Linked DNA regions of Bombyx mori. The protein of the gene in region 1 interacts with the protein of each later gene in a biochemical or structural test. Links are inferred from orthologs where the notes say so. Each region holds a gene or a part of one and is shown on either strand. Other genes may lie near its edges.

Region 1 (5,961 bases):
ACCACCGTTATTACACATTTAAACCTGAAGAAACACTAAATAGACAAAATAAAACAAATCACACAACTTCACTCCTCGCGTTCTCGCCAAAAAGTCCACTCACTCACTTACTCACTCTTTGATTCGCATAATAAAAAAATTGCTTATGCTTTTTGTTTCCAATCACTTAGGCAAAGGGAACGAAATCTAAAGATTTCAACTATGGAGTCCATAAGTTAGGAGCCTGTTTCAGTGTATTAAAAGTGTCCGCTGAAAGGGAACCAATTAAGGTGGTGCCATAGTAGTAAGAGGAAAGATTAAAAAAAACAGCACTATAAACTACCACACTTCACTTCAATCCAGCACACTTCACTCTGTTTAAAACTACTTTAATAATTTGCATTTATATCATTTCCACTTCATACACTAGCGCTATTTCAGTGTCGGTGAGTCTTCTAATAAAAACTGGCAGCTTACAGGTACACACTTTTTCGACTTGTCCCCTATACAAGATGGTGTTCCTTACCTCTATCCTCCATAAATTTAATAAAAGCTTATAGTATATGAGATCGAAGAAAAGTGTCTTGTACAAAAATTTTAATTAAGCAAAATGAAATAAGTCACAGGAGTTGTTTAATTAAATTCATGCGAGACCTATACAGATCACTATCTGTTTAGCATAAAATAAGTTCGTATTACTTGAAAAAAAACATGACCAGTAAGGGCCTCGATAATCATTCTTAGTTGTTCTTTTTTCTTTTATATTTACTAAGGCTTGACACGGGGTGGAGTTCTTTCTATCGAGCGGCTCGTGGTACAGGATAGGTAGAGGGTGTCAGCTTGCGCCGCTGACCTTCCGCAAGCTGCTCCGTCTGCAGCCCGACGCAGTGCAGCGCGCGAGCATGTTTTCCGCGTTGCGGTCAGTACAGTGGTGGCAACAACCGGAGTCAGTGAGCACTTGCGTCAGTCGGAAAATGATGCGTCTTCGGTCGGGACTCGTGACCCACCTAGTCCGGAAAGATCTCGCAGACTGCTTATACGGTCCGTAAACCATAGGACGGGATCACCAAGCGGCGACATAACGTCTTCAGCACGGACTGCCGAAATTAGAGCTTCCGCACTTATTCACCGGTGCGCCATTCTCTCCTAGAGCGGAAATCGCCACGCAACGCGTAATCCGTGGCGGGCGCATCCGCCTCCAGACCCCGGGGTGATTCCCCGGTGAGCATGCACACCACCTCAAAGATGCAGTGGAATCCACAGCGCAGTCGCATTTTCGAGGATCAGAGCGTAACACCAAACCGGTGAACAATATAGTGCCATGAACCTCCACCACACCCAACGTCCGTGATTTTTTAGCGCCCCAGCGATTTCCAATCAGGACAGGGTTTTAAAGGAATAAACGACTAAAAAGTAACTTTCATTGCGACGGCAACCGCCCCGACTCGAGATACGCTTGAAAAAGCCTCAGAGCCAGCCATCAAGGGCACTAAAGGTCAAATCCCAGATATTGAAGGCATATGCATAATGTGTAGGTACCTACCTCATGAAACTTAATATTTAAGAGAGGCTAATAAATAATTTCTCAGTATTTCGTCATATATTTTCAATAATTAGATAGCTCATTAATATTGTGAACAACCACACAAATCAGATCACTTACAGATTCTACATATTATTATTATTAAAGAATCTTAAGTTACAACAACCCATTTTCTCCATTGCTTCTTTTATTTATATGATGAAGTAAAATCACGATCTCATTTTTTACACTTTATTTAAAAAGTATCACCACAATTCAATTTTTCAGTGAAATATTGTCAGTCCTTGCATGTAACAAAAGTAAGAAATAATTTCAAGATTATAATATTATGTGTGTACATGCTATTGGTTTACAAAGAGTTATCATACAAATTTGTTTACATGTGTATTATAAATAACAGTGACCAAATAGGCATTAACACATATTGGGCAATCAATGCAAAATGTTTTTATGACAACTGTAACAAAAATGAACTACACATAAATAATACTCATATTTTTGTTGCCTTTCAATATAAAAGTTTAGAATTACAGTTTTATAAAACTCAAACTAGAGGAGCTACGTGTTAAATTATCTAATGATTTTACATTAATTAAAGCAAATGATTGAAGGTTTAATAAGTTATTAAAATAATGTTCATTTGCGATCACCTAATGGAATGAAAAAATTTAGTGTACGCTACACTGAACACATTTGCATGATCCTCCAATCACAAAATGGGCACTGGGTACATCCGTTGATCATATTTATAAGTCTTCATCTTCCTCAGGAAGAGCAGTATTTTGTGCATCTTGAAGATCTTTTTCAATTTGGTTCTGCCATTGAGGATCCATTGTAACTTCTGGTGGCAGAAGGGCAGGCATGGCAACAAACTCAAGGTTACCGTCACCAATTAATTTTCTAGCTAGCCACAGGAAGGGTTTTTCGAAGTTGTAGTTTGACTTAGCAGAAATGTCGTAGTACTGAAAAAAATAATCAAGTTTGAAACAAAAATAATTACAAAGAATTTTAACATTTTGCCTTAAAATTAACTCTTAAATTGAATGAAAATAGTTTTATTTACCTGCAAATTCTTTTTCCTGTGGAAAACAATAGTTTTCGCCTTAACTTTTCTGTCTTTAATATCCACTTTGTTTCCGCACAAGACAATAGGGATACCTTCACATACACGGACCAAATCTCTATGCCAGTTAGGTACATTTTTGTACGTAACTCGAGAGGTTACGTCGAACATGATGATAGCACATTGTCCTTGAATATAGTATCCGTCTCTAAGACCACCAAACTTCTCTTGTCCGGCTGTGTCCCACACATTAAAACGAATTGGCCCGCGGTTCGTATGGAATACTAGAGGATGTACTTCGACACCCAGAGTCGCAACGTATTTTTTCTCGAACTCTCCAGTCAAATGTCTTTTGACAAAGGTTGTTTTGCCAGTACCACCATCTCCTACCAATACACACTTGAATGTGGGCATATCATCTGCCATTTTCGTTGTTTTATTGCTATTTTACTTCTGAAACAATGTGGTAAACTAAAATTAGGATATAGCCATAGAATGTTCTATGACGCACGGTTGACAGGTCGTTTCAATCGATCGTTCACTAGGTTTCGCGGAATACAAGAAATAATTCAACACTTTAAGCAGATTAAATTCATCACTGGGTACATAAATTGTGAGTTTGAATGAACTTGACAACTTGAATTTGTTTTAACTTTTCGGCGAATGGCGCTCAATCACTCTCATAGGAATTTAGCTCGAAGGTACCGAACTCTAAAGAGAAAAACTGAAAAACTACAACGCCAATAATATAAATATGGATATCAGTTTATTGGCAGTTTTTTATAGAACACAAACAAATAATTTTTTTAAAGGCTTTACCGTGATTGTATAAGAAAATCGAGATTTAACTCGTTCCAAAGCAAAGTCGTTACGGCTCACAATGGCGTCACTTGACTAAGCGGAAGATTACATACAATGACAATTTTGACATTGACAAGCACAGTGAATTAAGAGTCAGTGTGAGGTCTTTTTAAATTTATGAAAGCCACGTAAAACTATTTCAAATGTTTAAAAAAATATTAATTTGCATTTTATATACTAACCTTTCAATCAGATATATTTTGTAAATGAGTTAATTTCTATTTGGGTAACAGTATTTAAAATTAATAATATAAGCCGTATAATGCGCTGTTTTGACTACAGGGTATTTGACGTCACTGGTATTTCGAAACCACTACGCCCCCTATAGCTTACAAATTCAAACATTTTATATTCAACATTGCCATCTTAGTGGTTTTGCCAACAAAATTGGCAATTATGACTCCCAAAAAAATATAGCATAAAGCTTATTTTGTATTAATGGTTTTGTATTAATTTTCTATTTTAATTTGCTCATCATGAGTGCCATTCATGAACACACGCTATACACAAATTTTCTTTCAATAAGAAATGGTAAATGCCCGCGGGAATTCTATCGGCCACAAAGACTTCGTAAGATCGTCTTTTTCCTCTTTACACTATTAAAATTTTATAAAATCACTCTTGCTTCTCGATGGATTTTTTCCATCTTCGGCCTTTCGATAGATTTTCGAACGAAGAAGAACAAGCAACTATTCTTCTTCGTGCAAAGTTTCTTTCTGAGATCCTTCCTATATGAATATATCGTTGCTGAGTTTCGTCTTGCGGCCTTCTTAAAACGTACTCCTCTTTTAATTTTAATGAGCCTGGTCGCCATACTATATCCATCTCACAATCTTCATTTCACAGTAGCGCACGAAGCTTATAAGTTGTTTCTTAGCATGTGTGCCTTGTTTTTTTTATATTTAATATTAGTGGATCCTAGAAAAAAATTATGGCAACATTAAATTTGACAGCATGAGACAGGTAGCGAGTGTAGCGACCAGCGATAAGTGAAGTTTTGCTCGTCTGAACGTTTTGTATGGTATCGATTTTTTGAGTGAAGTGAACGTAGTGTTCGTGTCCTTTAGTTTAGTGACGTTTGTTAGAAAAATATCTTTGAATGGGATTGTGTAACGAGAAAAAACGTTTACTTGGTGCGTGATTCTCTGTAAAGGATGACGAAGGACAGGTTAGCGGCGCTTCAAGCGGTAAGTAGATTTGTAGTTTCTCTCTTCTCGCACATCTAATGGTCTTGCCGATGACCTCGAATTCATGATGAAATACCGATAATAAGGTGCCTATCGTGAGTTTGAAGGATATTTTCATAGTTTCTTCTTTTTAAGAACTACACATCTTTGGACAAACCAAATATACGAGGGTTCTTTATTCTGGTCGCCCCACCCCGTACTCGACTTGGATGAATGATAGCTGTCATTCATGCGAGACATTTGTTGCGTTCCGCTATTCTTGTAAGAAACCTACTTTATCTGCATTGTTTTTGGGCCACTAACCATGTCGAAAACTTTAAACCTGTATAACCTCACAAGAAAACATTTATTGTTATAAAACTGAAATGTCGTAAACACTTGTTTAGTATTTCAACTATAGTACGGATTTTTTTATTTATCATGAGTTAAAAATTAAATCATAGGATACAAAAGTAACTTTGAGTGTATTTTTTTTTTTTAATTATCCAGTTAGTTAAAGTGCATATGAGCAATAAGTTATGACTCATAAGAACAGTCAGATACAATGAAGTGGAGAAGGAAAATTAAGATCAAAGTTACTGAAAGTGTATCTAGGCTTTAAAATTTGAATAATTTAACAACTGATTGAAATAAAATTATTAAAATAAATAATGAAATCAAATTATGCTACAATTTACATCCATTAATATTTTAAAAAGTAATTTTCAGCTTTTCTTTATCAAAATAAGTATACTATTTTTATGTTACCCACTCCATAAAATAAAATAAAAATAAACCTAAAACTTATAAATGGACCAAGTGCTGCATGTGAAATACAAACTTGATGAAGTTGACACATATACATTCGAACTTTTTATTAAGATAGAAAAACTACAAGCTCTTATATTGATCATATACTCAATTAAGTCTTACATATTAAAATATTCACTAAGTATAGGAAAGGTACCTAGTTTATAGAAATTAATTTACTATTGTAGCAAATTGGATAGTTTAATTTGGAATTGTTATTTGAATATTTTTTTCTGTTTATTTCTAAATTATTTTTGTTTCATTAGAAATTGGTATTGTAAAATAAGTTTTGTAGTTTAACAAAATACACCTGAAATGATAATATGAGTCGACTATTATCAAAGCCGGCAATGTGACTTTTGGACAATTATTGGTAAATCAGAAAAATGAATTATTGACTTTGTATTCCATTGGCAGTCACAAAACTCTTCTGAACGACATCTTAGATAAATAACAGGTTAAGTATTAACCTTTATTTAATGCAGGTTTTGAACCGTATTCTTTGAAGGAGACGATTATATTCAAATCAATCTGTATTG
Region 2 (6,510 bases), about 7.4 Mb from region 1:
AGAAGATCGAACATCACATGTATGCCATCCTTAAAATAGAAGGGTTTGGAGACAAGTGATGGCATCGCCCGAAACCCGCAGAACACATTAACTTAATGATTGTTAGTCTTAATAATATTAAGACTACTACTTTTCAACCGTAACAGCAGGGCACGTGAAATTGTATTAAAGGTGTCTAAACAACGTCATTTCGGATCCTCCCGATCCACTAACGGTGCTTCTAGGTATCCCAAGCACCGACCAACATTCTCGTCGAACCCGTCGCTTGCCACGAAAGGCTCGGCGAGTAACCGGCGAGTTAACCCACAGACAGCCCACTAAGTTTCTTCGCCGGATCTTCTCAGTGGGTCGCGTTTCCGATCCGGTGGTAGATTCTGCGAAGCGCGGCTCTTGCTAGGGTTTGTGTTAGCAACGTCATCAGGTTTGAGCCCCGTGAACTCACTTACTAATTCGGCGAATCTAGAATAACCCCTCGTGGTTACTAGAATAGGTAGGAAAAAATTTATTATAAACAAGACCGTGTAGAAAATTATAATGTATTTGTTATAAAATGTTTACATATAATGCAAAGAGTTCTCGTAGCAACGTTAAATAAAGCACAAAAAGATGCCAAATTTAGTAACAGCTATTCACAATTTTTGATAGCACTTATATACCTAGATAACCAAACAGACTTGAGAAGCATGATGAAACTAGTGTTTGTATGTTATTGATATTTAAAAGTATAATTGACAACTCGAAGAATGGCGTAACCCAAAATCGCATTATCTCCAAGGGTAACAATAATGAAAGCGGTTTTTCATTTTTATAATTTGTTCGTTTACAAACATGTAACAATTTATCTCCATTTTCTGTGTAATGAAAACCAAATTCTCATTTTAGATTACCCTGTTCGATCACTAAATCGATCATTATCATAATTTCATAATCGTCTAGTCCTTTCAATTTCATAAATTCTTTGACGAAATAGATACAAGAAAAATATAATGTGTACCAAATGTCAAGAATTCTGATTCAACAGTTGTATGTTATATCAAATTTCAAGTTAAGCATTTCTTCGTGTTGTGTCTGTCCTTGTGATCTAAGCTATGTCATGGATGCCTAAACGGAAAATGTCGTGCTGAACATAAAATGAATCTCCGAGTGGCTTCAACACGAACGTTTGCATGTATAGGTGTGGAGGATCTTCGTCACACTGAAAATAAAAAATAAACAATTTAAAATTAGAATCCTGTAGTATTACAAAATTTACGTATAGTCAGTTAAGGAATAATGCATCTAGACCCTGAAAACTTTTTGGATCTGTTGTTGTTGTCTACAGATTATACAGAACCTTACGAAACTTTGCTATATTACAAATTCTTTCCAAATGACATGAGAACCCTTCTTAATTTTTTGAATAGAAAACGATAACATAATTATTAAAGTTTATTAACAGATACATAGGTATGTATAAAGCAGCGCTTCCTAAGTGTTTTTCGTTTTCGTACCTTTTAATAAAACTTTACATTTGAGTATCCACCCATACACTGATAACCTCATACCTACTCCTAAAAATTTGTCTCCTTTCTCGTCACAGACACAAACTCAACCAGGCAATATACAAACGAATGTGTGGCATTTTACCAACCCAACACTCAGCCTGGCATCTCTAAATAATTGTTGTAAGGATTCATATTAAATAACTTTAAAATATAGCGCTACAAAGGAATCTTTCATTCATAAGGAAACCAGCCAGTAGAACGGGCTCCAAGGTTTTTGCCTTACATCAAAGAAGTTAGAGAAAGTATTGGCAATATATTTTGGTGTGCGTAAAGAAAACTACTAGTACTACTACAAGACTAAAATGCAGTTTTACTTTGCAGGATCCAGGTATTTATAAACAGGATTTTAAATGTGCACTCTCAGATATAGATTTATAGGTTACAGTTAATGAGCACATTGTAGACATTAAGAGTTATTGAATACACAAGCTCGCAGTTTATTAACATGGGCTAGACAGCTCTATTAACCATTCAGTTAAATTTGAATCTAAATACTGACCAAAGAAAGCTAGTTACACATATAGTATATGAGGTCATGAAAATAAAATTTAAAATACCTTAATTTTACAGAGAAAATGATTGGCTCTTAATTAACACTTAGGATTCTCGTGACTACGAAAACCCAAGTCAAACAAACTGCCAGAGCTTAAGATAGTTGTTTGTGTGTGAAAAGACATCACTGTCAAGAAATATTTTAGAGAAAGCTAGCAGTTAGAAAAATATTCAAAGGTAGACAAAAAACACCTTATATATACATTACCACAAAAATATACTGTATTTCAAATGACGTAAATAAAAATTTTTTTAAATAAAGATGATATTAAATGATAAAATTAATTTATAGTATTTACTATAAACAACTTTTACTTTATATTATGTGATTCACCTGTTTAGGTAAATAAAGCAATTATATTTTTAATTAAACACATAAAGTTAAATGGTGATTTATATTTACTATTTACCTTCAATCTTCCAAGGACATTAATTAAAACGCCTCCATCAAACATTGGCTGGGAATCCACAGCAGTTACTATTCTAGTGATTTTTTGAAAAGTCAAACTCTGTAATATTAATTTTCATTTTTATTAAAAATAAGGTTATTTCTAAAGTGATAGACCTAACGACAATTTTTCCACAATTCTACCTTTGCTGCTCTACCACAATAGATGCCTTCTGGTCAAAAACAGCAACATGGATTATATAGCTTCTTAGTAGCAGTAATTTTATCAGATACAGTTAGATACAGTACAGACTTTGATCTCATGTCTCAACAATAAAGGTGGTAACATTAAATCTGTAATGCCTATAGACTCCACTATTACGACCAGGATGGCCTTAACACAGAGATATAACATAATAACAATAACTACACTATTATTGTTACAAGCACAAATTATGTATATATGTAGGAAAAAAATGTTACAAAGTAGGTATAAAAAAAGTTATACAAAGAACTACTGAGGAAACCAGAATGAAAATTTTAGTGTATACAAAAAAAAATTCAGTTAAATAACAACTAAACAAAACCTGTAAATATAAGCACTGTTCCTAAATACATAACTGTACTTTTGATTGTGTTAGAGAAGATTTTTAGTGTAATATCTTCAAAATTGGTAAAATTCTTATTTACTCACATTTAATTTTTCCATAATTTTAACAGCACCCTGCAGTTGTACTCCCTCAAAGGTCATGAATGAAGTTTCAACCTGCAAGACAAGTCATTATTAATAACTTAACAAGCAATAGTCCTGAAACAACTATGTTTAAATGTTTATACAACATTGTTAAAAAAGGGGTATAAAGTAAAATTTATCGCAATGTCCAGTTGACACCAATTTTTCACCCTAGTGGGCATCAACAAATACATCACTTAAAAGATCTAGAATAAAATTGTACTAACACATGGTAACACAATTCTAAAAAGGACATATTTAAATTACACTTAAAATAGAGGCTTTGTATCGTTTCTTCAGTCTAAATTCTACGTAATTGCTTTATATGAGAAGCCGAGTTTCGCAGTCGGTAAAACCAGACGTTAACCTCTAAACAAAATTTAAATTGTAAAATACTATTTTCAAAATGTGAGAGAAGGGAAGATAACCATAATATAATAAAAATAACGGTACAGTAATAATACTCACATTGTACATATTAACAAGATTTGCCCGTTGAGCCGGATCATCGAACAATGTGTAATATTGTTGCACAAAACCTTTACCGATTGCATCGTACTGCGGATTGAGCGCCATTTAGATTAAGATGTGTCTATTTGTCACTGTAAAAGATTGATATCTTTGAATATACTAAAAAATTGAATAGGAAGGTGTTCACTTAACTTTATTTAAATATTAGGCGTCTACACACCACCAACAAAAAGCCCAATTCCAGCCGAAAAATTCAAGATGTGACGAACTGACGAAAAGGGGCTTGAAAATTTATTCTGCTTGTTGACAGTTATGACATATTTTTTTTTAATGATTCTGAATGTAGTGTCTAAGAGGTATAAGATCATACAACACTACTATTTTCTACTAAAGCTGAGCTGTTTCCACTATTATGGATTAAAAGTATTAAAATCTAATGCTCTGACGTACTTTTTAGGAAAATCCTGTAATATATTTTTCAATTGTTATTAGAAAATAAGTCAAACTTGATCCACGTAATTCTTCAGATTAAAAGTACATTTCTTCTTCTTCGTCGCTTCCTCATTACTGTGGATCATGAGTCGTGACCACCTTGGTCTAATTGCACTAGTTTCCTACAATGCTGCCTGCATTTGGCCTGCTGAATGGCACCCGGAACGCTGGTGTTTGTGGCTTCCTTGGCAATGTCCGTCCATCTGGTTGGCAATCTTCCTCGAGCTCTCTTTCCTTCCACGTGACCTACAATTATTATTTTTTCCAATTTGTCAAGATTTCGTCAGGTCACGTGTCCGAAGTACTTGAGGAGATGCTGCATACAGATCGTAGATAGACAGGTCTTGACGTTTAGCTCCGAGAGAATTGATACATTTGTTCGGCGCTCCGTCCATGATACGACCAACATTTTGCGCCAACATCACATTTCAAATGCGTCAATTTTCAATCGGATACGGGCCTTGAGGGTCCACGTCTCAGAAGCGTACGAGAGTATGGAGAAGATAAGGGTTCTCATGAGCTTTATCTTAGTTTTTTGTTTATGTTGCGATTTCTCCAAATCTTCATAAATTTGATTCAATTCTTAAAAAAAAAACCAAGACTATTTCATTACAGCTTTCAGTATTTTTTAAATTGTAAAAAACAATCAAAAGTCACCGTCCTGTGAGACCTTTTGGCGGGAACGCGAAGAGCGAAGTTGTGTGAATTGTTTTAATTTGTCTATTTAGTATTTCTTTAGGTTTAAATGTGTAATAACGGTGGTTAATTATGAACTATTTAGTATTTATGAATATGCACAAATGTGGGAAAATGAAATAAAACTGCTGGGCGCAGCTTCTCGGGATCTACTGAAAAGTTCACTGAAAAGTCTTAATAAATATCTAACCACTATTTTACTGAGATTATATTTTATCCCATATCATCTCATCTTATTTCATTTAATTTCATCTCTATTAATGAATATCTCCAGTTAATCAACTTAAATTCATTTAGCTTCATATCATTTCCATGAAAGAGAATCTATAATTTATGAATAAACATATCGTATGATACCTTCGTCTTTATACTTGGAAAAATGGAATTACTACATACTAGGTAGGTACGGTACTACTTACTACTGTCAAGTACCGTACTGTCACTGTCATTTCTGTTTACTTTTCAAATTAACTATTGCAAATATTAGTCGCCGTAGGTACATAGGTAGGTAAATCATTTAGTTTTGGGTACAAACTATTGAAGTTTAATGACATCGCTGACTAAAAAATCAAATTAATATCTATAATGTATACTAAATGAAATATACTGTATAGCTGTGAAAGTCGATTTGAGTAAAAAACTGTAATAATTGTAGAATATTACAGAATACAATAGAAACAGAACAAGCTCACACATAAACTTAACACTCAGAAAATCAATTTAGTTCTACAGAAGCATGTCTCTAGCTGACGAATTACTTGCTGATTTAGAAGAAAATGACGATGGTGAACTCGAAGCTGCTATCGAGAGCAAAACCAAAGAAGAATACGACTTTGCAGTTCCATATCCCGTCTTACCTAAAGAAGAAGAAATCAAGAATGTCTCGATAAGAGAACTCGCGAAACTAAGATATTCTGATCGTCTGAAACGTGTATGTATTTAATAAAGTTTCTTGAAGAACAGTTTAAATATAAATTACAATTTTTCATGTAAACAACTTTTAGGTTATGAGTGAAATAGAATGTAATGCTGGAAATAACAGAAATAAGGTTGAAGTTGCTGGCTTAATGGAGTCTGACCCTGAGTATCAACTGATTGTGGAAGCAAATAATGTTGCTGTTGAAATTGATGGTGAAATAGGTATGCATTCCAATCTCCATTTTTCATGTGTTGATTTGTTTATTAAAACAGTTTCAGAGAATTGAACTTTTATGATTGAACGTAGTGTTAATAGTTCTCTTTTCATGAAATTATTATCTTGGTTGTCTAATTATTACTGCTTACAATATTAAAGTCAAGAAATGCAAATTTTCAGCTATTATTCACAGATTTGTCCGTGACAAATATCAGAAACGGTTTCCTGAATTGGAATCTCTAATCATCACTCCATTGGAATACATAAGGACAGTGAAAGAACTTGGCAATGATTTGGACAGGGCTAAGAATAATGAAATATTACAGAGTTTTCTTACTCAGGCCACTATTATGATTGTTTCTGTTACTGCATCTACAACTCAAGGGTTAGCTTCTTATTTGTTTTCTATTTGTGGTCTATTTTGTTTGCTAATATAAATCAATGCACTCACTCTGAGAAACATCGTGCCACATGTCATTGCAACGCGAGAGCATTGGTA
Region 3 (5,855 bases), on another chromosome or scaffold:
TAACTTTTTAATATCTTTAATCGGTTACAAAACTGATGACTAAACTATTTAATATTCATAAACACTAAATTAAAGTCTTATCCAATTCAACAAATTGAAATCTCACAAATGCATTGTGACAACTCAGATTTGTCCGCTCTTCCCCCAATGTCCGGTAGTGGAGTAGTGTGGTGAGGTCCTTTTGTCCGTACTCTCCAATGTCCGGTGGTGGAGTGTAGTGGGTGTGAGTAGTAGGGTCCGGTTGTGATAGTGTGAGTAGTAGGGTCCGGTTGTGATAGTGTGAGTGTGCAGGCGCGCTGCTGGTGCCGGCGCGGGTGACGCTGCGGCAGGCGGCGGCGCGCGTGTGGGCGGGCCACCACGCCACCTTCGTGCTGGACGCGCAGCACGCCAGACTCTTCGCCTTCGGACTCAACAACTACGGACAGCTCGGTCAGTGCACCTCTCACTAGCCATCAACACTAGATACAGTTTTTTTGAAGTGAAACTTCTTTAAAATCGTTGTGAATCGTCGTCTGTGAGTTAAATCCAGTCATCAATGCTCCTTCCTAATATTATATACGATCTACAAATATTTATGTATACAAATAATAAAATATTTAAAATATATTCCAGGCATAACGGGTGAGAAACGTAAAACAGCGTTGTTTTCTCCGACCGAGTGTGACGCACTACGAGCCGTCGGAGACGATCACGCGTGGAGCGCTGTGGCCCTCGGACAACATCACACACTGACGCTCGCTGCCAACGGACAGATATATGCGCTGGGACGTTGTGAATATGGGAGGTATGGGAAATTCCAATATTAACCATTTAAAAAAAAAATTATAACAAAGCTTAGGTTCGAAATTGCAAGGCCGTCAGTCAATGCAAGAATAGCCTGACCCAAAATTTTCATATTCGTGCAAATTTTTATGCAAAACCGGCATATCCCTAGTTTCTGCCATAGATAACAAGTGACTTTGAAAACATTATATATATGTACTCGATATCAAATTTTAAACCCCTTATCTCCATAGTAACCATGGTAAACGTAGGCTACTTTTGCGCTTTTGAAATGCCAAAATTTCAAAGATTAAAAAATGTAAAGACAAGTCTCCTTTAAAAATTAGTTCAGATTGATTTTTAGTTATTTTTAAATTTAAAATAAAAATATAGGATCAAAATTAATAAAATTATTCCAACATTAAGAGCGGCGCGATAAATATGGCCTGGGGCGGCATCAAGCCCTAAATCCATCACCAACCTTAGTATATCACTGTTTTTGTACCACTGGTGGTAGGACGTCTTGTGACTCCGCACGGGTAGGTACCACCACCCCGCCTATTTCTGCCGTGAAGCAGTAATGCCTTTCAGTTTGAAGGGTGGGGTAGCCGTTGTAACTATACTGAGACCTTAGAACTTATATCTCAAGATGAGTGGCGCATTTACGTTGTCTATGGGCTCCAGTAATCACTTAACACCATGAGCTCGTCCATCCAATAAAACATTTTATGTATTGACATGTTGATTTTCCGCCAACAGGCTAGGTCTGGGCGACAAATCTGGCGACGCGGAGACTCTAGAACTAATACCCAAGCTGCAGAACAAGAAATGCATCAGTATAGCGGCCGGCACCAGCAATTCCTTCGCCGTCACAGACTCCGGTTAGTGGACAGCTTCCTCACTCAGCTTCACTCTCCATGAAGGAATCGATGATATCTTAAATTTTATTTTTAGATACATTAAATTCATTACTAAGACTGAAGTATTTTCCTTCTTCAACTGTCTTGAGTTATAATAATATAAACAGTTAAAATTGCTCTTACGGCTTATTCTCTTATTTCGTGATCGTCCATAATGATATAACTGTAAAGCATTAAAAATTTAAATATATCAAATAAAAACAGCTACTGCATGATTAAATCTTAAGAACATATAATTTAATAATAATGTGTAATATAACTTGATTTGTATCCAAACAATGTCCATTATAATTTACTGAAACTAGTGCCTAAATATATGACTTCTTGGTTACCAATATTTCTTGTATCTAAACTAGTTCCGACGCTAGCATTATCCTGACATAATTTTACTATTGGACTTTGATTTTGACAGCTAATGCTTGACAGACAAGACAAGATGAAGAACCTGTTGATTTGTCCAAACAACAAGTGGATCAGTTCTTTGTTAGATATTTGTTTGTTGGGCTGACAAAGTAACTGGAGTCTATAAGCCATCATTAAGATTTTAATTACATTACATTTATAAAAAAATAGTTATCCCTTCATTATGTATTTCTTAATGAGTTGCATGTCGTTTCATACATTCTTCATATTATTAGTCTACATTTGAGTATGCTCATTTTGAACTACTTGGTACAATTTTACGAGAAAAACCTAATTTATTTTGTCCTCTAACGAGAATTTGAGTGAAATAGAGATATATGATTTAGAATTGCAATTGAATTTGTATTCCAGGCGAAGTGTACTCTTGGGGCATGGGCAGCGAGGGGCAGCTGGGCACCGGAGAGAGCGAGGACCTCAACGAGCCCACCCTCGCCGCCGTCGACAGCCGTGCGCCCCTCCGCGTCTCCGCCGGCGGACAACACACCGTGCTGCTGGTCGTGAGTGCCCATGCTCTTTATTGCTTCGATGAGTGGACGAGCTCACAGCCCACCTGATGTTGAGTGGTTACCAGAGCCCACCCATCTTGAGATATAAGTTCTAAGGTCTCAGTATAGTTACAACGGCTGCCCCAACCATATAAACCGAAACGCATTACTGCTTCACGACAGAAATAGGCGGGGTGGTGGTACCTACCCGCGCGGACTCACAAGAGGTCCTACCGCCAGTTATAAAGCAATTGCAAATTGCAACTTGCAACCTGCATCCTAAGAATTACATTTATTCTCCAAAACGTAAAGAGTAAAAGAAATTAGGATGTACAGTTTCTATCTCGATTTTAGGAGGAAACATCGTCGCAGAGAGAACCTTCCCCGATTCCTGAACGTGAGACGGAATCCCAACAATCCGAGGACACCGAGGAGGAGGAGGAGGAGACGAGTAGAGCGGACATCACCGAGCAAGAGGGAGAGATCACCTCGACGTCTGCAGCCAAACCTGAGGACGTCTCCAACGATACGGAACCTCAGGTATCTAGTTGTTTGCATCTCATATCAGTGACTAAACCTCCCCAGATTATACAATGCGGCATCGTTGTGCTTCTGTATCTGAGTCGTCCCCTTACTCCCTGCCCCCTGACCCAGTTGTCTGTAAGCAGTGCTGACTGAGAATCCTGATCGAGCCATTACTCTGGATTGTCTCACGGTCCGTTCATGGGACAATATGTACACAAAACTAAAAAGAAATGTATCCTTCCTTGCTGCAACTGTACCAGAGCATACAATGACACAGCAAAGAAATATGTTTTGATATGAGCTGTATGTTATTTTCTGTATTCACGGGAAGCTAGTTCATTTAAAATATACAGTTGAATTTCTGTACTGATAATTAATTATATGTATTCAACTGCACCTGACATTATAATGTGATCGTGAGCGTTGTTCTAATTGCTTATTTTTTTAAAGGGATTTTATGACCTGCTAACTAAAACCTTTAGGTCAAGTCTTATTTTAATGTATATTCTTATTTCTATGAAAAATGATATTATGGAGTAAAATGAAATAAAATGAGATGAGATGAAATATAATCTCAGTAAAATGGTATTTTTGGAGGATCCCGAGAAGCAATGTCCAGAGGCTTTGTTTTATTTTCCCACATTTGTGCCCTTTCACAGATCCTAAATATTTAATAAATCAGCCTTATTACTTGTTTAAATCTGAAGAAACACTAAATGGATAAAATAAAACAAATCACACAACTTCACTCCTCGCGTTCCCGCCCAAACGTATGTTCTAGTTGCATTAACGTCGTCCTAACAGAGTATTAACTGTAGACAGGGCCGAGAAAGGCCGGGGCTCGGCGGGCCCCCCGCGGCGCCCCCCCGCGCACCAGGAGGCGCCTTTAGGTCCGCGGCCCCACTCGCCCCCGGGTGCTCCCACTTTACTTTAGTATTCATCATTTTTGGTATCGGTTTAAATATGTAAAGACGATATTTGTCTGTGAGAGCTGTGGTTTCTACAATGGCTGAAGCTATTCAGTAACGGGTGTCGACTGTCCCGCGCATTGTCCCTCCAGTTCAGAGGAATAGTTGAGCTGCAACATCTTGGGCCATTGTTGGGAAATATTAACACGAATAGATTTGTGTAAAACTGAAGTATTCGTAGTTAATGATGTCACGTAGTTAAATATCATAAATTGATTGTGGTTTAAGCGGTTTCTGTGTATCAAATTACCAGTGTAACGTCAAAACTAAACTATATTTTAATTATTGTCAGAAAATGTTACCATATTTATCTCACGTTTACACATAGTCATCACGGACAATTCCTCGCTTCCCTGCGAAAGGAGTGGCTTGTGATGCGTTAATGTATAGTGAAACCATTTATCTCGTACACTCCACAGTTGTATAGATTGAAATGTAACTTCAGTAACAGTTGTTGTTGTGTTGTCCCGTTGTATGTGTTGTTGTATTCAGAGTGAGGGGCAGGGGTGTTGGGGGGGGGGTATCAGTCCTCGTATCAACACGTTACAAATTGAATTCTCCACACAATAATTATAAGATACATTGTCGCGTGTATAATAAAAACAAAGTTAATTCGTTTTTATTGTAATGTTTGTGACATATATATTGTTTTTGAACCGGTGTGGGGTAGTAACAATCGGTAGTTAGTTGTATTGTTTGATTTAAATATATGTTTTTAAGTAGAATAGAAACTATTGTCATATTTTCAAAATCAAAGTATTATATGCTGTGACTTAGTATCTTATTAATTGAGCCCATCCATACTACCTGGAACCACTGCAGTCATCCACAGTGCGTTTCCAGAGGTCTTTTTTGCCACGTACTATCCGGCTATGGAATGAGCTCCCCTCCAAGGTGTTTCCCGAGCGCTATGACATGTCCTTTTTCAAACGTGGCTTGTGGAGAGTATTAAGCGGTAGGCAGCAGCTTGGCTCTGCCCCTGGCATTGCTGAAGTCCATGGGCGACGGTAACCACTCACCATGAGGTGGGCCGTATGCTCGTCTGCCTACAAGGGCAATAAAAAAAAATCAACATATTGATATTGTTTTCTTTTAAACGTCGGTTCATATTTATTGACACGGTAAAATTGAACTAAAATTTGATATCTACTAGAAGTAATATTGTGCTGTTATATGTCATATAATGATTGTGTGTTTGTTTGTTATGTTTCCAGAAAGTGAACGGAGATGAGAAAGAGACTCCCATGGAGGTTGATGAAACTGGTGAGTGATATTTAGTAGTCGCGTCCCGACCGACAAAACTGGGGCAGTAAGGTCAGGGGTTGAGTTCGGTGAGCTTGGGAATTGTTTAGACAATAATAACTGCGGGTGCAGAGTGGACGCGGGGTATGGGGAGCACCGCAACATGAGTACCACAGTCTTCAGGTCCAATAGTAACGAAATAACATTTGTCTTTTATGGCATAAATAGGTAGACGAGCTCATAGCCTGTCTCGCGTTAAATGGTTACCGGAGCCCATAGACACTTATAACGTAAATACCGCCACATACCTTGAGATATATATGAATTACAATGTCTCAGTATAGTTACAACGGCTGCCCCGCCCTTCAAACCGAAACACATTACTGCTTTACGGCAGAAATAGGCGGGGTGGTGGTACCTACCTGCGCGGATTTACAAGAGGTCCTACCGCCAGTAACGAGTCAACGAAAAGTAGTGTCTTTAGCGTGGAACTTCACTGTGTAAATACTGGTGTAATACCGCTCTACTAT
Region 4 (6,350 bases), on another chromosome or scaffold:
AGGACAAAAAAGACCTATCTAGCCCTTTCTACCGTTTACCACTCCCGAGTGTATCTATGACTAAAGATGACCACTTGCTGTCAAATAAGGTGGTTAAAGACAATCAAAAATATTCACCTTAGCTTTACTGGCTGTGGGGCTTACGCCTAAAATAAGAGCCGCTTCCCTTTTCGTCATTTTTGGTTCAAATCCACCTTTGTAATATTTAGAATTTGCTAATGTTTCAGAGTCGAATTTAGGTAAATTCTTCACTGCTTCGGCAAATTTCATTGAAGCGTTTGGCATTTGCTTTAGAACATATCGTCCGGCGAAACCGACCGCTGCCATACCAAGACCTGCCAGAATTATTGAGCTAGCCTGAAAAGTAATTGGATACCCTAAGTACTAAATGCGTGGTACTAATTATTTTTATTATTTCGAATCTCAAAATCTTTGTTTTTGAATGGCGCACAGGTGAGTAAAATTAGGGTTATGTTGTGTCAGAAAGCTGGATGAAAAGTTGCTCTGCTGTTCATTTAATGTTGCTTTTATTATTAATGCAATAAAGGGGACAACGTAACCAATACCCAAAGAAAAAATTTCAGACCCCCTTTTTAAGAAAGATATATCAGATATCCTGTAACGTTATATTGTTGGGATGTTCTATGAAAAAAACATTATTATCTATTTGGAATTTGAAGTCTATAAGATTATTTTATAACCTACCATAATAACCTGCGTATTAAATGGTTTTGATAACAAACAAATTCATAATCACTTGTGTGTACAAATCACTGAGTGAGTTAATGTTATTTTCAATTTTCAATTTCGTATCTAGACACTCATTTAATAAGTGTTCTAAATAATCTATGCTAGACACAATTTAGAAAAATAAAGTAGTAGTAATTTTATTTTACCAACTGGAAAGGCCACGGTGTCAGACCATACAGCCTAATCTTTTGTATATACCGGAAAAATGGGGCGATTAGGGACAAATTCCAAATTTATGACCAATTTTAAGGTAGTTGTTGATGTATATAATGCTATATCAGGATCAAAATGATTGAGTCTTGGGGGCATCATTATTGTCCAATTTAAAACTACGCAACTAGCATTCCAGTTTAAGCAAAAAAAGCAAAAATAGGTGTAATCCCTATTTACCCGGAAATAGCGGTTAATTGGGACGAAATGAGAAATTTGCTAGGGTTGTAGGGTTTAAATTAATTTATTTTGTTGCATAAAAAATATTGAAAAGCTGAAAAAAGTACATGGGAGATGTCACCTCTCCCCCACTCTGAACAAATATTAAATATTTTATTATGTATGTATGTATGTACTTAGACATTTTTGTCCACCTTGAGATTTCATTGTTCTTGTTACATGTCTGTGCAAAATCGACTTACTTATATTAAATTGCTTAGCTATTTCAACTAAAGACTTATTCCCAATTTCATATGCTTCTATTGCTGTTTTTAATATTAAGGGATCATATCTCTTATGAGGCTTTGCACTCTTTGATAGATACACGCGAGGCATATCTAAAAATAGAAAACAATACTTAACTGATAATATAAATATTTACCAAACAATAAAATAACACATTGATAATTTTGAATAAAAGTTCTAGACAAAAACATCATGAATAAACCAGATTTTTACCAACAAATTTAAAAAATATTGTTATAACTACATAGACAACCCTACAAACCTGTACCTATTTATACTTAGGTCGTTTCCATTTCACGTATTCTCATCCCAATTGACCCTTTTTTCGTTTTTATTTGTACCTAAGACGTCCCCAATATCCCCAAAAACAACAGATTTTGACATGTATTTTTATTTTATCAAATACATTAAAACCAATAACAACTGAGACTTACCTTTAATATATATGATGGTTCAAACACTAAATAACGTTTATAAATCACAGTCGTCTTCTATTATTATCAAATAAATAAAAGAGAGCAAAGTTTCTAGCACTAAAATAATTACCACCACAGGAAGTTAATTTGAAACGTGATTTTTTATAAGTTAGCAGCTATTATCATGCATATTCAGAGTTGTTTTGTAAACTTTCAACATTCTACTATTAAACTACAAAAAATGGAAGATTTTGCAACGAATATAAAACTAATATTGAGCATCGAAAGATTTTCCCGGTTTTTTCCCGATTCGCCTCTCAATCCCTAATCGCCCCATTTTACGGTATATATTTTTTCATAAATGAAAAATGATAATATGACGTGAAATGAAATGTGATGAGATGAGATGATATGGGATGAAATATAATCTCAGTAAAATGGTAGGTAGTCATTTACTGAGACTTTTGGGAGGATCCCGAAGAGTTACATCCAGTGGCTTTGTTTTATTTTCCCACATTTGTGCACTTTCACAGATACTAAACAGTTGATAAGCAGCTTAAACCCGAAGAAACACTAAATAGACAAATAAAACAAATCACATAACTTCACTCCTTGCGTTCCCTCCAAAAAGTCTAGAACAATTAAATTGAGTCAAAACTCAGGGGGCTTTCAAACTCTAGATAATTATTATGTGTAATATCTATGCTCAAGATTTTCACTATTGTAAGTTGGTTCTACACAATCCTGCAAGATCTAACTAAAGACATAATTTTATGGAAGTGATTTTATTTTTTATGCTAATTTTTATAAATTTTAAAGTTTGGTCTTTGAATTAATCGGACTTATTTACACAGTCAAATTATCTGTGCTATTTACTAAATCAAATTTAATTACACTATTTAAGACAATTTCTTGTTTTAATTTGTGAAAAACTAAATTCTGAACAATCTAAAAGACAATAAATTTAAATATAATAACATTTATTTTACTTATTGTCAAAATTCGATAATCTATTCATCACGTTCCCAATACCGGACCTCTCTGTCAGCGAGTGAAATAAATCTCAAAATAGTTGAGAAATTAAGTAGGTACATAATATTTCCAACTTTTTAAGTTCATTTAGTCGATGTTTTCATTGTTTTCTTAACTGGCAACAAAAAAGAAAGTGGCCAGTAGTATGGCATGTTGGTTGGATGAAAAAAATTGTTCCTTTTGAAGAAGTTCAACATGGCAGGAGATCAGGCGCAATTTTATCAGTTGCTAAATACTTTACTTTCAACCGATAATGATATCAGATCCCAAGCAGAGGTAAGATAAAGTTCTGTAATTTCTATTTGCAATTATTGCACTATGAAAATAAATAAACTGCCTTGTCTCGACAAAACAGAAAGCCTCGTGTCAAAACGTGGTCATGGAGGTTCCGAACGAATATAGTTTTTTGAAGCGATAAAATATAATAGCATTTGCACATTAACTACTTTATAAAATTGTTAGTACTGAGTAATCTGGTGTTTTACTGCTTTATTTTGTATTCAAACCTTACTACATTGGTACCGCCACATACAACCGCTTTTGGAATTTAGGAGGGCGGGTACGCACATGTCTTGTTTAATGTAGAAAAATAAGGTTAGATAAAGAATACACTCGCATCATAATAATAATTGTCAATGCTGTTGTTAATTACAATATTGTTGTGTGAAAATTTTCGGTCGTAACTTCAAACTAAGGTTGAGGTCAAGTTCATGACCATTTTGCCTATTTCATTACATAAGAAAATAGGCGGTGCCCGTGACCTTAGCGAGAATTTTTGGTACCTAATAAACTGCGGAACAGATTGAAATAAAACTGATTTTTTTTAAAGGACGCATACAACAACATTCCAACAGAAACAAAAGTAGTGCACCTAGTGAATTCAATTCAAAATGCAGACATTGCCGAAGATGTGCGTCAAACGGCGGCCGTGCTGTTACGAAGATTATTTAGTGCAGAATTCTTTGAGTTCTTCCCGAAATTGCCATTTGAGCAGCAGACAGTGCTCAGAGAACAATTGTTACTCACCCTTCAAATGGATCTTTCCCAGTACTTACGAAGAAAGGTGAGTTGTATGTATGAGTATGTAATAAAAGCAATTGATGCAAAAAATAATTAGAGAACACTTGTTTCTGAAACTCTAAGAATGTAATACTGAACACAAACAGAAAATATTCATATTAAATTAGTCACTGCTTATTATTTTTGACAGTATTAGTCACTTCACACAACTTATACTTAATACCTTTCCTTTTTTTCTGCAACAGTACACCTGGGATGATATTCTTTCTCTTATCTTCTTATATTCTAATATTGAGTGGTCACCATACCACATAGACTTCATGTGAATGCTACCACCCGGTTTGAACTCTTTTAAAATTAATTAAGGCATCTGTGTATTGAAGGCTTACTTGTAAGCTATCAGTTTTCTCCACTCATTGCTTTTTTTTTGCTTGAAATACTGTTTATCATCATCATTATCTAATAAGAATTTATCAGACAAGTCCTCAATCATCAAATCTATGGGGAGGCTATGTAATCAGTTTAACCAAAATTCTGAAGATGACTGTAAGGTGGTAATAATACATGGAGATTTTTATAAACTTTAAAGAGATGGTACAAAATTTGTATAAAAAAATTAAAATGTTATTTATGAACAATGATGAGTATTTTTGTCCTTCAGTGCTCAAAATGTGCTCAAAATTAGTCTTCTTGTTTTAGTCCTATTAGTTGGGATGTGTTGATTATATTTCTGTCACAATAATATAGTTTTTATACTATATTGCATCATGTTGAGAACATATGATGCTGTCTTCATGTCAGAGAGAGATGTAAATTGTAGTAGATTAGTCATTAAACTGAACCAAACCTTTCTGCAACTGATCTATTTAAAAATATTAAAAATGATGTGGTGAAAGATGTGGTTTTGGAAAAAAACTAATGAATAAATGATCAGTAATCTTTATCAATTTTGGGGAGGTGTGTCTGAATTTAAGGTTTACTTAAATGCTTTGGAACAACAATACTTTCACAGTGAAAAATAAATAAGTAATAAACAAAAAAATGTATTAAAAATGTCCATTTACTCATCAGGTTTGTGATGTAGTCTCTGAACTGGCTAGGAATCATATTGATGACGATGGCAACAACCAGTGGCCTGAGTTCCTACAGTTCATGTTTACCTGTGCCAGTGCGCAAGATCCAAACATCAAAGAAGCTGGTATTAGAATGTTTACGTAAGTTTCAATTATTTTAATTCAATTTTTTTTCTTACTTTTATTTTACACAATAAATCTTTGTTTATTGTTAACAGATCTGTACCAGGTGTATTTGGAAATCGTCAGACTGAAAACTTGGATGTGATAAAAGGCATGTTAATATCTGCTTTGCAGCCAAATGAATCAATGGCTTTGCGAACTCAGGCAGTTAAAGCTGTAGGCGCCTTTATACTACTACACGATAAGGAGCCCATCATACAAAAGCATTTCAGTGATGTTCTTCTACCTTTGATGCAGGTTTGTAGATTTGTTCTCTATACAGTAAATAGTGCACTGATCACATCCATAGCCAAGATCAGAAGCATTCTTAACCTACAAAGAAAAAATAAGTGAATAATTATATTTGCCTGCTTAATATGATAAACTCAACAGTTTTTTTTTATGTATGCACAAATACTCCTACGTGCACATTTTCTATAATAAAATGTGTTACTGCCAAATTGTGCAAAATTGAATTTGGAATTTCGCTAACACCAGCCTTGTCTATAAGCTGGAGTTTGATAGTAATTCTCAATACATTTAAATTCTTAAATGATCTTCAAAAGGGATAGTATTATATTTTGAATGAAATAGTACATGTTTTTGTTATCAGGTAATAGTTCTGTCTATTGAAGCAGCTGATGATGACTCTGCATTGAAAGTACTCATTGAGTTAGCAGAATCAACACCTAAATTTCTCCGACCCCAGCTGGAGACCATATTCCAAGTTTGCATAAAGGTATGTAAAAAATGTCTAAAATTACCAATTCATTTACAAAAAAATTGGGAATGGGTAAAGAGACTATAAACGAAACAGCCATAAAAAGTAGAACCCTAAAACATAAAACTACTCATTTAAGAGTGCCAGTGAACTTGTGACCTTAGTGTATGTTTAAGGAGCATGCCCCCATTAATTAGGATTGTGGTCATTACTTGTTGTTTTAGTTAAATTTTTGTTTGAAAGCATAATCAGAAACTAAAAGTGGCTAAATTGACATTAATTTGTATCACTATTGAAGATCAATGAGAGTCTTATTGCTACAATTGATATTTGAAATAATTATATCTGTTATTGTAGTTTGATATAGCAAAATATTTATTGTATGGTATAAAAATATCATTTTACAAATCAAATTAGGTGGTTGGGGACAAAGATGCTGAAGATAACTGGCGCCAACTGGCACTTGAAGCGATGGTAACATTATGTGAGACAGCACCAGCC
Region 5 (6,298 bases), on another chromosome or scaffold:
GTTCGGCTATTACTAATATTATTTTTTAGGGTGGAGGGTTGCCCAGAAGCTTCACCAGGACAGGGGGTGAGCACGGCTCCTGACTGCTACTACCCGGCTATTATTTTGATATTCTGTCCGAGCTTTGCTAAGGATCTTCTTCACAGGTGCAATAAACAATTTGTTGAAACAAAATTATGAGTTGGATAACTACAATAATATTTCGATAAATAATTATAATAGCGGTAGCCATCATAGAAATTCAGCAAAAACCTGAATCACGCTAACAACTTTTAAAGATAAGGTTACTTTTACTTTAAAAGTTCCGAACAGACCAAATTTGGATCGTCGAAAAAAGGCTCGTTAGAAAACCACCCTCTTTCCTTTATATTAACTACACACGAAGATTTTGAAATAAAGATCGGGGGTATTGTAATCGAATTATAATACTACCTACTCGTTGACCAAATAACAGGTAATAAAAAAAAGCATTTATTTCAATTGCGTCATTTTTAAATAGGAAACAGCTTTCCCATCTTGCAGTTAACAGTGTAAAGCCCATAGTAATTAAGGATTACATTGTGAATTCTACCTTGAGCCGTAAAGATGGTTGTTTTTTTTTTTCAAAACCGGAAAAAATGATGTACATATCTTCTCAGAAATAAGTAGAGCAGTGATTTGGATTTGTATCGATTTAAAATAAGCCGATCTTGGTGTAATTGAGATCGAATCCGGGTCAGAGCTAGGTAAAATTTGAAGAGCTGCTCTTACGGATAATTCGCAAATACCAATAGTAATAATCCTAATAGACAGTAGTATTCAACGCGAATACTTCTTTTGTTATTATACATTTAACCGGAGAGTCATTGCCACGAGTATAAAGTAATTGAAATGAAGCACAGAAAAGTAAAACAACTGTTTTTTTTTAATATAACATTATTGACAACTAATGTAACAAACAAACCCACCATCATTTCCTCCAAATGATTCAAGTTGACATTTTCCAGAATTCGCAGAGGAACGTTCTTTCTTACTTTGACCGCAGGTTTGCTTTTAATTTTAATACAATAGTGCACTTTAGCAATCTTGCTTTCGAAACTAGATGGTAAATCTAAGGGGAGAGCGAAGTGGAAAGGGTAAGTGTAGATACCCGGTCTAATCTTTTTACCTGCGAAGTAAACACACAAGCTCAATTTAAGACAGAGATAATTTATAAGTTAATGTTTTCCAGCCAATGAATTTGGAAATATGTATTATAATTTGATTCGACATATTCAACATTGTGGAGAGATTTTTTTTATTTTTTAAAGAATGATAAGCTCAGAAATACAGTCGCTCATTAATATTAAAATATTTATAAAAGTGGGCTTTTCCCCAAGACTTCGAACCTGATGGAGATGCATCATTCGAACTATTGCATCTTGCCCGTTACGCCACAGGCGTCTAATAATTCTTCACCTCGTTATCTTGATATTCTAGTTAGAAGGTACTAAAGTTTACTTTATCTGCTGTTTTATGCCAACATTTTAAAATTTTCCCCTATTATATTTCCAGTATCTAAAGCCGATTTGTTTATTTAATAATTAAGTCAAAATCATCTATTTGTGCTGCAAATAAAATTTATGAACGAATGCTAAATGTAATAATAATTTAAAAACCGACACTAAAGCAGTTATTTAAACTTAAATCGCAAGACTATATAAGTATTACTTACCACTAATTATTTCACTAAAAATGTCACAAATGCTAATGCTTAATATTTTTTTCTTTTCTGAGTAAATTTTAATATATGGCATAGTGGGCATGGATCTGGTCCATTGTGCTTTGCTTATACCTATAACATGTAAATCGATTCCTGAGAAAGAAAATAAAAAATATTTAAAGTTTACGTGTTGTATAAATTAAATTCTATTTCAAGGTCAAGCGTGAAAACGTCTATAATTCAATTCGTTTAATAGGAAAATAAAATTAAGGCCTACTTTCAATTTTTTGTTCTTGGTCAAATTCTAATATCACGGTTCCGGTAACTATGTCACCAGTATAAAAACTTCCCGTAGAATCACTGTTTAATCGTACTATACAATTATCCCAAGTCATTTCAATGTTATGAAAGCAGCTAGCTTAGTCATTAAGAATTGACTAAACGTCTACCATTGCTATCTTGGTTCATTTGATAAGCTTCGATAAATTACCTCAAGATAATGACTTCCAAATTTCTTATTATTTGTGGGATAATAAGTAGTTTTAATAAACAGCATTTGAAAATCAAACAACTAAAATTTGAGAAAATCTGATGATACTAAAAAACAAATCAAACCCCTCTGTAATAAATTAATAAATTAGATTATGTACTGGATCTCCCCCTTTCTGTTGTGTCGACCAATAAAATTACGTAGGTACTTACCTACATAGACCAGTTTAAGTTATTTTGAACGAATTCATTTTTATTGACATTTGACAACCTGAATTATTCCGGTGACACTGACAACAATGCTGACATTCAAAAATCGGTATTCCGATGGAGTTTTGCGATTTTTTTACTTAACGTTAATTTCGATATGTTTCGTTTGTTAAAACATTCGGAGTTATTCCTTTAGCGAATAAAATTATTCTATCCATTTTGTTACAATTCATTTGTAATTGGGCTACTTCGCTTCTTATATTCCAATAATTCGGAGGTAGTTAGGTTATGTTATGTCCTATGTCGGAGGGTGAAAAGTAAGTTAGTTAATTCATTTCCGAATTAAAATTTTGTGTAATGCATTCCTCTGATTTTCTCTTTTATTCCACAGAGCGCTAATAATAAAATATATAACGCTTTAGAATTTATATAATCCGTCGACTATGTAGACATTTAAAACTTATAAACATATTATTTGCTATTAATTTTATATCTTTTAGTGGACTCCTGTTGAACTGCATTTTGTGGTTCTGTTCTAAAGGATTCTTCTATAAGATATTTTTTTCTTATATTCTTCTATAAGATATTTAAGATATTTCTTCTATAAATTCGTATTGTAATATAAGTATTTTGCTGATTATTTAATTTAATTCATGATCAGAAAATGCAACTATGTAGTTAAGTAAAATCAATTTATAAAATGATAATAGTCACCATTAAATCCAAAACATAAGTAGTGTCTCAACAGTAGGGACATGTGTAGAGTAGATCAAATCATTACTGGTCAGTCTTGAAACTAAATGTTAAAACATTAAAATTTAATTGTCAATAATTGTTGATACATTAACTATATTGTCATATTAATTTCGGAATTTTTATTGCAATCTTCAAATTCTACTACAGCTGATCATGGATCCGAATATCTATGCACTAGTATTGGATACCCTAAACAAGGCCACCAGCCAAGACACAGAAGTTTTAAAACCAGCTGAGAAAAAACTGCAGGAATGGGAGATAGAACCAGGATATTATTCTGTCTTATTGGTAATTACTTGTTATATAATATATTTGTGACATATAATATATTTAGTATATATATATATATAGTAATAATGGCTTTTTAAAATAATATTCTGATGAAAAAAAGTATTTACAAATATTTTATATGAATGTCATATAAGAAATGGAAATTATATTATGAGGCAATTATATTAGACTCTCACAAAAACTAGTTAATCAAATAGTTGTTTGATTGTTGATTTAATTGGTGGTTTGATTCAACTACCGATAAAAATTTTGAATTAATAACAACATCAATACTCAATTAAGTACATTGAGTATAGTAAAAATGTGAACAATTAAACATTTTTGAAACGAATGATAACATGTATTGTTATAAATTACAAAGATAACTCTTATTCATTTTTATTGTAGTTATAAATTGTATTAAACTTTTGTAGCTATCTATAAGTATTGTAGTTGTATTCCTTAGTGATAATTCTAATTTCTAATTATTTTATCATGTCTCAGAATGTGCTCACTAACCACTCAATCGATGTGAATGTAAGATGGCTTGCTGTCATGTGCTTCAAGAATGGAGTGGACAGGTACTGGAGGAGGAATGCTCCTAATGCCATTTCAGAGGAAGAAAAACAGAAACTAAAACAGGGCTTGCTAACAACAAGTATTTTAAGTGAACCTGTCTCCCAGATAGCAACACAACAAGCAGTTTTGATATCAAAAATCGCTAGGTGAGTTTTTTTTTGTTCCTTTGGTTCCATATGACACAGTGTCTCTGGGCTGATACTGAAGGCATTGTATTGAATTTATTATAGGAAATAAATAGCCAGTCCAAGTAGCCAAATAGCTAGTAATAGTGTTGATGATTTTTAACACAATAGCACCATATCATAATTGAAGATATATATTTAACTCAAATTTTGATACCCTCACAGTTCCATTTATAATCAGCTGTTTGTTACTGTTGCAAAAAAAAAGCATAACTAGATCAGTTTGAGTTGAATCACTAATTTGATCAAGTTCATTTCGTCTTCTAGGTTTGACTGTCCAGCTAACTGGCCAGATTTAGTTCCAGAGCTAATGGGTGCCATGAAAACTACACAACCTTTGATCCAGCACAGATCTTTGTTAATCTTCCATCATGTAGTCAAGGCTTTGGCTTCTAAAAGATTAGTTGGTGACAGGAAGACATTTCAGGTGAGCTAATACGATAAATAGGAAAACATATTTATTATCAAATATCTTTCATTTAATTACATCTTCTCAAACATTTGTTCTATTTATTAAACAAAAAATACAATGATATTCATTTACTGAACCATTAATGGTTATTTTGTAAATTTATAACTGTATTATTACTGAACAATCACTTAATAATTTTCACATTCAACAACCTGAAGCTAATAATATTTTTTTTTTTTTTTTTTTTTATTGCCCTTGTAGGCAGACGAGCATACGGCCCACCTGATGGTGAGTGGTTACCGTTGCCCATGGACTTCAGCAATGCCAGGGGCAGAACCAAGCCGCTGCCTACCGCTTAATACTCTCCACAAGCCTCGTTTGAAGAAGGACATGTCATAGCGCTCGGGAAACACCGTGGAGGGGAGCTCATTCCATAGCCGGATGGTACGTGGCAAAAAAGATCTCTGGAAACGCACTGTGGATGACCGCAGTGGCTCCAGGTAGTACGGATGAACTCTGATGATGATGATGCCTTATAGAAGGGATGCCACTAATACATACATACAAGAATAAGAATGACAATGAATGACATTAAAGGTGTAAATGAGAAACTGATATTATCCCATCAGATCTTGGCATATGAAACATGGAAAAAAATATGTTATGCTTTAGAGGTCTTATTGAGATGGGTGAGGTGGTGATCGAGTTTTTTTTTTTTTTTATTGCTCTGGTGGGTGGTCTAGCTCACAGCCCACCTGGTGTTAAGTGGTTAATGGAGCCCCTAGATGTCTACAACGTAAATGCGCCACCCACCTTGAGATATAAGTTCTAAGGTCTCAAGTATAGTTACAATGGCTGCCCCACCCTTCCAACTGAAATGCATTATTGCTTCACTGCAGAAATAGGCAGGGTGGTGGTACCCACCAGCGCGGAATCACAAGAGGCCCTATCACCAGTAATTACGCAAATTTTCTTCTATAAGTTTCTTACTTGCTGCCCAAATTTTACCCAAAATGTATGATTCCAGGAATTAACCAACTCAGTGTATTCATTCATATTAAGTCTATGGCACGAGAACACGGAGATATTCTTACGTCAGATCCAAGAAGGGGCCGCCACCGAAATAATTACCGAACATCTAGAGAAGGCCCTCCTGTGTCTTAGGATATTGCGAAAGTTGACAGTGTTCGGTTTCAAAAAGGCGCACGAAAGCCAAGACGCTGTTGCTTTTTTAAACGTAGTATTCGATCGGGCTAAGTCCAGCTTGGAATGTCGTAAGTAGTAATATGAATTTAACATTAAAAAACCACAAGCTCATTAGGGTCGGTTTATACAGAAATAGATGCTACTGAAGCCTACAGACACCACAGTGAGTAGTATTTCTCTTGCACTCAATTGCATTGGATTGCTTACTGATTTATCCCTCAACATATAGATTTATACAGGATGGTGTTGCCACATCTATGTTGCTACGAAATTCACTAAAACCAGTAACTATGCAAATTTATGACTTAAATGTTAATATTGATTATGGATGTAAAATCTAGACATTTGGAAGAAATTGTTATAAATTGACTGGCATTCTAGCAGCTTTTGTAGTTGAGTGCTTTAAAATTTTCTCATATTGTTCACTGCTCGATATAACAAGTTAAAATTATTACAACCAACCCTTAAACATGTTAGGAAGACTCTTAAATAGGTTTTTTTTTTTTTATT

The links.
Region 2: the proteins of GTP-binding nuclear protein Ran (region 1) and probable nuclear transport factor 2 form a complex in vitro, tested with the Homo sapiens proteins (3 studies listed by BioGRID, with this or other methods). The link is inferred for Bombyx mori from reciprocal best matches to the Homo sapiens genes RAN and NUTF2.
Region 3: the proteins of GTP-binding nuclear protein Ran (region 1) and regulator of chromosome condensation form a complex in vitro, tested with the Homo sapiens proteins (6 studies listed by BioGRID and IntAct, with this or other methods). The link is inferred for Bombyx mori from reciprocal best matches to the Homo sapiens genes RAN and RCC1.
Region 4: the proteins of GTP-binding nuclear protein Ran (region 1) and importin-5 form a complex in vitro, tested with the Homo sapiens proteins (2 studies listed by BioGRID). The link is inferred for Bombyx mori from reciprocal best matches to the Homo sapiens genes RAN and IPO5.
Region 5: the proteins of GTP-binding nuclear protein Ran (region 1) and importin-11 form a complex in vitro, tested with the Homo sapiens proteins (2 studies listed by BioGRID). The link is inferred for Bombyx mori from reciprocal best matches to the Homo sapiens genes RAN and IPO11.

What each region holds. Positions count from the first base shown.
Region 1 is NC_085116.1:5,373,780-5,379,740, reverse strand, and holds GTP-binding nuclear protein Ran, read right to left. Parts: upstream 3,481-5,961; 5' UTR 3,405-3,480; intron 3,039-3,404; 5' UTR 3,012-3,038; coding exon 2,586-3,011; intron 2,485-2,585; coding exon 2,269-2,484; 3' UTR 1,740-2,268; downstream 1-1,739. Other genes in the region: syntaxin-1A, read left to right, coding at 4,601-4,633. UniProt on the Homo sapiens protein: GTPase involved in nucleocytoplasmic transport, participating both to the import and the export from the nucleus of proteins and RNAs. Switches between a cytoplasmic GDP- and a nuclear GTP-bound state by nucleotide exchange and GTP hydrolysis.
Region 2 is NC_085116.1:12,786,026-12,792,535, reverse strand, and holds probable nuclear transport factor 2, read right to left. Parts: upstream 4,052-6,510; 5' UTR 3,909-4,051; intron 3,820-3,908; 5' UTR 3,794-3,819; coding exon 3,686-3,793; intron 3,251-3,685; coding exon 3,179-3,250; intron 2,606-3,178; coding exon 2,507-2,605; intron 1,196-2,506; coding exon 1,082-1,195; 3' UTR 521-1,081; downstream 1-520. Other genes in the region: U4/U6 small nuclear ribonucleoprotein Prp31, read left to right, coding at 5,613-5,807, 5,881-6,016, 6,192-6,396. UniProt on the Homo sapiens protein: Mediates the import of GDP-bound RAN from the cytoplasm into the nucleus which is essential for the function of RAN in cargo receptor-mediated nucleocytoplasmic transport.
Region 3 is NC_085130.1:7,888,658-7,894,512, reverse strand, and holds part of regulator of chromosome condensation, read left to right. Parts: intron 1-291; coding exon 292-429; intron 430-612; coding exon 613-784; intron 785-1,521; coding exon 1,522-1,643; intron 1,644-2,456; coding exon 2,457-2,602; intron 2,603-2,944; coding exon 2,945-3,130; intron 3,131-3,933; coding exon of another isoform or gene 3,934-4,005; exon of another isoform or gene 4,006-4,060; intron 4,061-5,297; coding exon 5,298-5,346; intron 5,347-5,855. UniProt on the Homo sapiens protein: Guanine-nucleotide releasing factor that promotes the exchange of Ran-bound GDP by GTP, and thereby plays an important role in RAN-mediated functions in nuclear import and mitosis.
Region 4 is NC_085121.1:12,778,640-12,784,989, reverse strand, and holds the start of importin-5, read left to right. Parts: upstream 1-2,862; 5' UTR 2,863-3,068; coding exon 3,069-3,149; intron 3,150-3,702; coding exon 3,703-3,936; intron 3,937-4,964; coding exon 4,965-5,107; intron 5,108-5,184; coding exon 5,185-5,386; intron 5,387-5,741; coding exon 5,742-5,867; intron 5,868-6,266; coding exon 6,267-6,350. Other genes in the region: DnaJ domain-containing protein, read right to left, coding at 118-357, 706-708. UniProt on the Homo sapiens protein: Functions in nuclear protein import as nuclear transport receptor. Serves as receptor for nuclear localization signals (NLS) in cargo substrates.
Region 5 is NC_085127.1:2,267,353-2,273,650, forward strand, and holds the start of importin-11, read left to right. Parts: upstream 1-2,475; 5' UTR 2,476-2,697; intron 2,698-3,283; 5' UTR 3,284-3,289; coding exon 3,290-3,424; intron 3,425-3,910; coding exon 3,911-4,131; intron 4,132-4,437; coding exon 4,438-4,597; intron 4,598-5,609; coding exon 5,610-5,856; intron 5,857-6,298. Other genes in the region: arrestin domain-containing protein 2, read right to left, coding at 948-1,147, 1,694-1,834, 1,959-2,076. UniProt on the Homo sapiens protein: Functions in nuclear protein import as nuclear transport receptor. Serves as receptor for nuclear localization signals (NLS) in cargo substrates.